2 linked regions of the Oryza sativa Japonica Group genome follow. The protein of the gene in region 2 interacts with the protein of the main gene of each other region in a pairwise test. Links are inferred from orthologs where the notes say so. Each region holds a gene or a part of one and is shown on either strand. Other genes may lie near its edges.

Region 1 (4,532 bases), on a different chromosome or scaffold from region 2:
TTCAAGCATAGAGAACATGCATTTGTCTATTAGCTTTGTCGCAGACAACGAAGAAGAATGTGGCTTTTTGTTTGGTTTCAAATGTATTCTGTTAACCTAGTGCTAATTGCTAACATTGCTAAACATTAGGCAGAAACTAGTCCAGCTATTTTTTTTATGCTTTGTTGGACTTTAGTCGAAATGCAAAAAAAAAAAAAAAACCCTACATTGAATACTTAATTATGTTAGCCAATGCCTAGAGCTTATGCTGATTGCTGAATGTCCAAACTACTCCCTCCATCCCAAAATGTTTGACGCCGTTGACTTTTTTAAAAATGTTTGACCGTTCGTCTTATTCAAAAAATTTAAGTAATTATTAATTCTTTTCCTATCATTTGATTTATTGTTAAATATACTTTTATGTATACATATAGTTTTACACATTTCACAAAAGTTTTTGAATAAGACGAACGGTCAAACATGTTTAAAAAAGTCAACCGTGTCAAACATTTAGGGAAGGAGGGAGTACTTATGATGGAACACAGGTTTAACTAAACTCATCCAATGAATCTTTTGGAAATAAAATTAATATGTTTGGAATTGTTTGTGATGGCATGATATGTCAAAATGTAATATAAGAGACAAGTTCTTGCATCATGTAAGCAATTCAATAAATTGTTTTTCAAGAATTTTCATAATCTGACAAAAGAGAGGCTAATTGTGCAGACTGCACACAAGAATATTTACCATTCGACGTGGACGATTAGAGCAAATCACCACAAAATGGTAAAACGACATTTACGGAATGAGTCCCTAAAAGACTTTCCCCTTCTTTCCCAACTCACATCTCTCGTTTTCTGCGCGCACGCTTTTCAAACTGCTAAACGGTGTGTTCTTTGCAAAATTTTCCTATAGGAAAGTTGCTTTAAAAAAAATCATATTAATCCATTTTTTAATTTTTTTTAGGCTAGTACTTAACTAATCTCGCTCTAATCGCTTACATTGTTTTCCGTGTCAGGAGGTAAACCTTGCCTCCTGAAGACAGCCTTAAGCAGTACAGCACGAAAATCAAGTTCAAACATTTACAACCCAAGTCAAATTTCTCAAAGTTTATCTTCATATTACATCCAGAACTTCCATTTATGCTCAAAATTGAGTTCCGAATTCTGAAACTGACCATAATCAGCTACTTGTCAACTGAAAACCCTTGCAGGTGTAGTACTGTAGTACACTTATAAGGTTGTCACCAATAATAGCTTTCCATATTGTTAATACGGATCAAATTTCACAGTTGGTGTCCAAATTCAATGTTAATTTGTCATGTGAATACATTCATAGTTAATTATTTTCCAGTACCATCCAAGAGAGGAGGAAAAAGTCTTACTAATCCAGTATAATATATCCTCCTAGAGCACTAGCAGGCGACCACTAAATATGATATATGCCAATGGAAGACTAAAGTTACTAAGTATTAATTGGTAGCCCGGTGGTAAAAAATAAAAAGGCCTGGCTAAAACCGTGATGCTCCCTGTTGTAAATTTTTGTACCCACATGCTACAGACAACTGTGCTATATTCCAATTAATGGCCTACCCATCTCATTTTATATTCACAATATATGCTACAGTTTATTCTTCCATCATCCCTTTTTCTATGTGCAAGTGGCTACTTTAGTAGAGCAAGAGAAGAGAAGATATATCAGGGGAAAATATCTAACGGGTAGCCATCACCCTTGCTTGCCCAGCCTCTTCCCACCAGAAAACAAAAATGACCCAGAGCCAGAAAGAATATATGAACATTTCGTTGTTCGCCTCTAAGGTCCAATGCAAATATGCGATATAGAACTTCCATACACAAAATTTGTTTCAAAAGCCATTTCATAAATTTAGCAATAACATGAATATATCCAAACTAGATCGCGTAAGCACCTTTCAGGCTTTTACTGTACTTGAACAACATTATCTACAATTTACTTCGATTGTTGGCTTGCTCGTGCTGTGCTTAATGTGTAGATTAAAAATCAACAATGTCACCATTACTCAGAGATTGGCTCTAAAATACAGATGGTCTAACAGAAACAGTACACTTCAAATTCTGGCTAAATCTCATACTGGCATGATACCCATCTATAAATTTCAAAAAAAAAAAAAACAACCAATCAAAAGTGAGGATAAAATGCTAAAATTTACAGCAACTAGTCAGGAATCACGCATCATCGCCGCAATTGCAAGCATTAAGGCAGAGACAGAGTGGTGCGCACTCTGCACCGTACGCCTGTACAGGAACCCCCTAATTCTAACAAATGCGCATTAAAATCTCAAGGTTTGACTGCACGGCAAAAGCTCATTAAATTCAACAACACAGCCATCCACAACCACCATCAATCTCGCCAACATATCGAGCTGGAATCGAATCGAGAGCACCAAAAAAAAAAAACAAGCAGCATTTCGCCATCCCCATCCAACCACACCAGATCAGAGCAGAGCGGCATCGATCGGGGAACAGCTAAGAGCAGGGCGCGCACGAGGGCTCACCAGTTGCGGCCGAGGACCTCGTCGGCGCGGTACCCCGTGGCGGCCTCGAAGGCGGCGTTGACGTAGATGACCGGGAAATCCACCTCCACCGCGTCCGACACCACGATCGCCGCCGCCCTCCCCTCCCACGCCGCCGCCTCATCCTCCCCCGCTAGCCCCCCCGGCGGCCTCCACACCCACCCCACCTCCTCCTCCTCCTCATCCACCTCCATCCCCTCCTCCTCCTCCTCCTCCTCCTCGCACAGCTTCATCCTCTTCACCGCCACCACCCCGCCGCCTCCGCCGCGATCCCCCGCATCAAACATCTCTCCTCTCTCCTCTCTCTCTAGAACTTTCTCTCTCCTCGATGTGCTTCGAAATGGCGGAGGCAGAGCTGAGCTGAGCTGGGATGAGACGGTGGGGGAGATATTTTCGCGGCGGGGTTTATATCCGCGCGGGGTGGGTGGGGGAGAAGGGGCAGGGAGTTGGGGGTTAATTACGTGATCTGCCACCAAAATATCTCGCGGGGGGTGGTGGTGGGGGTGGGGCCCGCGCGGGCGGCAAAAGGACGGCGCACGGATGGGGGCCACTTGGGGGGGAGGGGGAAGCATCCAACGGCGCACCTTGTTTTGCTTTTTCCACTCGTGAGAGAGGTGGAGACGTGGAGTGGAAGGGAGAGTATCTTCAGATTGTCAGCTTCACTAGCGTAATTATTTTTTTTGTTCTTTCCCTCTCCACCTCTCTCTTTTTTTTATAGGAAAAGACCAGATATTAGGGGTGTAAAAATCTAAGAGCAAGTTTAGGCTCTGATCGGAAGCGAGGGTTGGGAACGAAGCAGCGTTTTAGTGCGTGATTAATTAAGTTTTAGCTATTTTTTTAAAAAAATAGATTAATATGATTTTTAAGCAACTTTTGTATAAAAACTTTCTACAAAAAAATACACCGTTTAGCAGTTTGAAAAGCGTGCGGGTGGAAAACGAGGAGGAGTTGGGAACTTATACTACCGAACGGAGCCTAAAAGTAGAGCAAACCACTATCTATAAATTAATCTAAGAGTTAACATATATATAATATATTAGGCTCCCATCGGATGGCCTAATTAGTCAAGAAAAAGTCAAAATTTAAATTTTTAAATTTAATTTTGAGATATTTTCAATGTAGTTTCTTTTTCAGCATTGGCTTTTAAGTCAGAAAAAACATATATATAAAAATTTTGTCTACAGATTTATTTTTATTCTCTAATAAACTGTTTTGGCTTATTAGTGGAAAAGCCAAACGATGACGGGACCGTTAGTTACCAGGTTGTATCTTATGTTCTTCTCCTCTCTATATGTAATTAATTTATTTGTTTACGAGAATGTGTATAGTTATCTCTTGCATAAGAGCTGGGACTCATCGTTTCCCTTGTTCTCTCTCCTTTACATAAGTATATAGTTGGTTTATAGTCTACTATTGAACTTGCTCTAGAGGGATTAGTGAAAATTTGGTTTCTTCTTGTACTAGAGTACTGCATAGAGCATTTAATTACCCCTCAAAAAAATAGTAGAATCTAATAATTGCGTACGCTAAATAAAAGACTTAGGGTTTGTTTGGGAAGCTCGAAATTCTGGGAAGCAATTTCGAAGCAAATGGTGGATAACTAATAGTTAGAATTAAAAAATAGATTTATTAGCTTATGATTTAATATCTACAAATTTTTAGAATCTAAGTGAAAATTTGAACGGTTTAAGCCAAAGATTCCAGAAGTAGCTAGCGGTTATATGCCACTTGATTGAATCTCAATTATGTTTTTTACACATGCAGAGAAAATGTGATAAAAGAAGTATTCTCATTGACGTTTATTGGACACGACTAATTCAGCATCGAAAATACAACACAATACCTAAATATTAAGTTTATAACATGCACACTTATTTTCGTAGTTTGATTCATCGAATATAAGTTTATTGTGTGGATGTTTCTTTTAAGATGGAACATTTTGATCCTGATTCCATGCAGATACATCTGTACGCATTCCAGCCAGAACTAATGCAGAATATCT
Region 2 (4,573 bases):
TTTCAAACTACTCTGGAGAAGAAACCATCTCTACCTCCCTGGAGGATGGATCATCATCTTCATCTTCTGAGATATCATCTCCAGTGCTGGTTATATCTGTATAGTTTGCCTGTCTAACAAATTGCCCTCGCACCCTCGGCCTTGTTTCAGCAAGTTTCTTCCTATTCACGTACCTCACCTTCTTGTCAAAACAACGTTCCTTCCTTTTCAGCCTGAATTTGGCAAGTGCTGCAGCTCTCCGTTCAGACCGACTACATGTTTCCTCGGGCATTGGTGTGCTTGATGCCTGTGGCCACATATTTTGTGTTGGCAGTTGATTTGATTGAATGCTCATACCAGCAGGATTATACTGAAATGGTGGCATCATAGATACACCATGACATTGGGGATAAACATTATACTGAGGGAGCAACGTTTGTGGTGTATGCACTTGAGCGTTGTTTATGTTCCCTTGGAAATTTTGCACCGGAGGATGTGTCATACCGTGGTCCATCATCCCTGGGTAATAAAAGGGAAAATGATATACAGGAGGAGTTCCTGAAGCATCATTTTGGCCTTCATTGCTTCGCTCCAGATGCAAGTTAGAGGAAGAAAAGCATACCACAGGGTATTGCACTGGCATCTCAAAGGCTTCTTTATCCCGAATATTTACATCAGTGCCAGTGTCACTTCTGTCAGTTGTACTAGAGAAATTACCCCTGTGATCCGAAGAGTCTAACCGATTTCCACCTTTTTGTAGTTCGCTGTCAAATGAGCTGGTAGTTGGGGTGCTTGACTTAACATAAGCTAGAAAAGCAGAAGACTCAGCAACCCTCAAGTTAGTCTTTATTGGACGTGAAAACATTACTCCGGGAGATGCTGGCATAAAAGCAAAGGCATAAACCTTAGAAACTATTCTTCAATTGGGGGATCTGCTAAATCAGCTAAAGGAAATGGTTTAAGGCTCAAGATACTTACAAGCTTGGTCGCCGCCTTCAGTAGAGACTAGTAAACCCTCTGGTGTGCCTTTTTGTTTAGGCTCAGCATCAGAAGGATTAGACTGCAAACATATCAAGAAATGCAAGGGCATTTAACAAGTAGACTGATGCAAAAAATTCAGCATCTTATCATCATCAATTGAACATATGAGGCAAAAAGGCATGCTCTAGCATCTAAACAGAACACAAAGGTAGAAAGATACTAAATAGAGAAGTAGTATGTTGGACAGCAAAATATAAAAGGATAACTAGTACTTGATTGGTTACCTCATATTCATGTTGATTCGAGGTGCTTGTTTCTTGATTAATGTTTTCTTTTGGCTTATCATCTGTGTCATCCGAGAGAAGAGTGGTGCTGTTGGTATTGGCGTCACTAGGTTCCGATAACGCCAACTCGAAATTGTCATTGAAGAAGTTTTTCTCCGACAAACCAAGCTGCCAACACCAACATTCAACTTAAGATCAACTCATACACGCTACAGCAACGCCACAGCCATCTCAGCTTAGAGCATGCTTTTCAACACAGAATTTGAAGATGAATCAACATAGTCCCCTTTACCATCCGCCTTCGCCGCCACACATGGGTCCAGAGGTTCAGCAGCTCGTTCATGCGCAGTGGCTTGACCAGGTACTCGGCTGCCCCGAGACGCAAGCACTTGACAACAACAGAGACCTCGTCTCTGTTGGACATCACTGCATAATTCGCATCAAAGATGAGGATGGTCACTACAACAACCCTACGAGCATGGGCATCAGAGGAATAGGAGGACAGCTTACTTATGATGGGGATGTGGCGCAATTCCTTGTTCCTGGCGATGTATTTGAGCATCTTGAAGCACTTGGAGACGGGCAGATCGACCTCGGCCAAGATGATGTCGATCTCCCCCGCCTCGCAGTTGAGTACGTTGATCACCTGCCTCGGAGACTTGGCGCAAGTCACTGAAACAAAAACAAAGACGTATCATTCCATGCGAGAAGGTGTGATAGAACTGCTAATTCATCTACTAAAGCAATCTTAATCCTTAATTATAAGAGCAAACCAAATACTAAGCAGACAAAGCTGAACTGACCTTGGTATGAGCAGTTGCAGAGGAGGCGGAGCACCTCCCGTGAGCTACTTGGGTCGCTGTCGCAGAGCAGAATCCTCACCTTGCTCCGGTCCACGAACTGCTGCCCTCCCCCTACCGCCGCCCCGCCGCCAACGCGATCCCCCTCGCCGGCGCCCACCATACCCCGACCCGCACGGATTCCCCCCCTAGCCACTTGTCACCAGCTGCCGACGCGTCCGAATCAGCACGAACAGCACAGCAGCCAGCAGCAGCTGCCGGCGCCTAGACTAGACGACGCAGGAGGACGAAGCGGTTGTTGGATCTGCGGGCGGCGCCTCCTCCTCCATATCCCGTGCCGTCGCCAGTAGTATCGCCCCCAGAGGCTAAGCAGTGTGCTACCGCCGCCACCCGCCGCCGACGCCGGCGGCGTCCTCCTCCGCCGCGCGTTGCGGTCCGGCCCGCACCATTATCCGCGCCTAATCTATTCAGGAGGCGGCGGCGGTGGTGGTGGCGGCGTTGGTGTCCGCTCTACTGGCACAGGATATTTTCCTCCCCCTACCTTTTGCTTTCCTCTCTCGGTGGGGCACGCGGCTCGGCTCGGCTCGGCTCGGCGAGAGATGAAAGAAAGAAGAAAAGGCCTCGTCACGCCGCGCCGGGGCGGTGTAAAAATAAACGAAACGGCTCGTCGCGAGCGGTTTGTGTCGCGTACTCGCGTCGCGCGGTGCGGGTGTGCGTGTGCGTGTGCCGGTGTCAATGGATTCGTCACGGGACGGGACGGGACGAGCCGCGAGCCGCGGCCCCGTGGGTGGGAGGGCCAGGTTGGATGGAGGGGAAGAGCCGGGCGTGGTTAAGCCAGATGGGCCCGGCCTGGCGGCGTGTGATTTCGGTGAGAAAATATCTACGCCTACCTGGCACGGAAATATCTTAATCGCGGATGCGATTAGGGGCGGCGGGCGTGGTGGGGCCGTGGCCGTGCGATACGGGAGCCGCCACGCGCGCGAGCTGGGGGCCAGCGAACGAACGCCAGGGAGACGCGCTACTGTAGTAGTACTGTGGAAACGACGACGCGAGAGGCGGAGGGAGGTGGTGCCGTGGTGGTGCCGTGGGAGTGGGAGCGCCACGCCCACGTACGTGCGGCGGCGTCCACGGTGGCCGCGTCCCCGCCCTCCGTTGCGGATCACGACGAAAGCCGCGCCAGCCCACCGCGGACGTGCCAAGGCGGAGAAAAATCCAGAGGGAAACGCGGCTCTCACGTTTTCACGTAGTACAGACCTTGATGGGCAGCATGGCGATACGGTGGTGGCTGGGCTGATGAGTAAAAGATTTTGAGCTACCGGACGAGACGAGTGGCCGGTAGAGAGCAGCAGCTGGATGGGGGGTGTTTTTTTTTTCCCCGTGTTGGCAACTTGGGATGCCCATTGCCACTACGCCGATCCGGAGAGCGACTGGTCGTGGACTTGTGGTGGCGGCTCGTGGCGCCGGCCTAGCGCTTTTTCTGTAGCTTTGCTTTTCTTGTTTGCCACTGGCGATGTACGTGGTGGCCTCCGGGCTCCGGCAGCAAATCAGCGATGCTGCAAAATGGGTTTAGCGTTAACAGCGCTGTCGTTTGTTTACTGATCTGTTACCAGCGCTGTAATTCAGTAATTCAGCAGAATGGTAAACACAACCAAGATTTTTGATTGCAGCTCTGAACTATGGCCAGGCAAAACAATCATTTTGACGAAGGGTGTTTCCTCCAGTTCACTGGCTGTATTTCTTCCACCGAGAGGAGTGGATGGTTGGTATCAGTGACGACACAACAACATCTCGATCTCAAAAATCTGGAGGCAGGCTGGCAGCCAGTAGCAGGAGCTTGGAGTGCCGATGTCATCAGTCTCATTCACAGGACGCACTAATCATATTTATTGCTACCAATGAAATCATACAAAATGAGTTATTAGCTAGAGTAGTGCTGCATACAGGCTTGAAAGTCACCCAAAGCTACTACTATCAGCAATAAGTTGTTCTGACAGTGGAAGTCCCCATATATATTCGCCTTTATTCTATGACATTGACACACCACAAACACGTTTTGGCAAAGGTATTTATCTACAGGGAAGGAGTGGCGATTGCTCCTGCCTCCGTCAGCAGAGGGACCAAGTTCCCTCCTTTGTGCATCGCCATGGTATCTGTTTGAAAGACATCAATGAAGATCGACGTTAAAATAGTGTAGAAAAACTCTGGCCTAAGTGACCCTTGTTCTAGCGATTTTCTTGTTCAGAAAAAAGTTAAACAGCGATAAAAATGCATGAAAATGTTGTTGGTCCGATGACATTAGTATCACAAGTTCACGACAAATTAAGAACAAGGAACTCACCGTCACAGCCACCAATATGTTTCCCTTTAATGAAGACACAAGGAACAGTTCTCTGTCCAGTCCAATCGGCAAGAGCTGACTGCAGCTCAGACCCATCACCTTCGTATTATGAGGATGAATTAGTTCAATGATAAATTACAATGTATGAACTAAAGAATAGCCAGGACATTCTAAAATTGACTCATGTAATA

What was found.
Region 1: the proteins of two-component response regulator-like PRR1 (region 2) and adagio-like protein 3 interact in a two-hybrid assay, tested with the Arabidopsis thaliana proteins (2 studies listed by BioGRID). The link is inferred for Oryza sativa Japonica Group from reciprocal best matches to the Arabidopsis thaliana genes TOC1 and FKF1.

Annotation. Positions count from the first base shown.
Region 1 is NC_089045.1:22,117,055-22,121,586, forward strand, and holds the start of adagio-like protein 3, read right to left. Parts: upstream 2,911-4,532; 5' UTR 2,818-2,910; coding exon 2,513-2,817; intron 1-2,512. UniProt on the Arabidopsis thaliana protein: Component of an E3 ubiquitin ligase complex that plays a central role in blue light-dependent circadian cycles.
Region 2 is NC_089036.1:25,050,278-25,054,850, reverse strand, and holds the start of two-component response regulator-like PRR1, read right to left. Parts: upstream 2,834-4,573; 5' UTR 2,208-2,833; coding exon 2,048-2,207; intron 1,917-2,047; coding exon 1,755-1,916; intron 1,671-1,754; coding exon 1,537-1,670; intron 1,413-1,536; coding exon 1,245-1,412; intron 1,040-1,244; coding exon 958-1,039; intron 859-957; coding exon 8-858; 3' UTR 1-7. Other genes in the region: glutaredoxin-C4, chloroplastic, read right to left, coding at 4,115-4,194, 4,383-4,481. UniProt on the Arabidopsis thaliana protein: Controls photoperiodic flowering response. Component of the circadian clock. Expression of several members of the ARR-like family is controlled by circadian rhythm.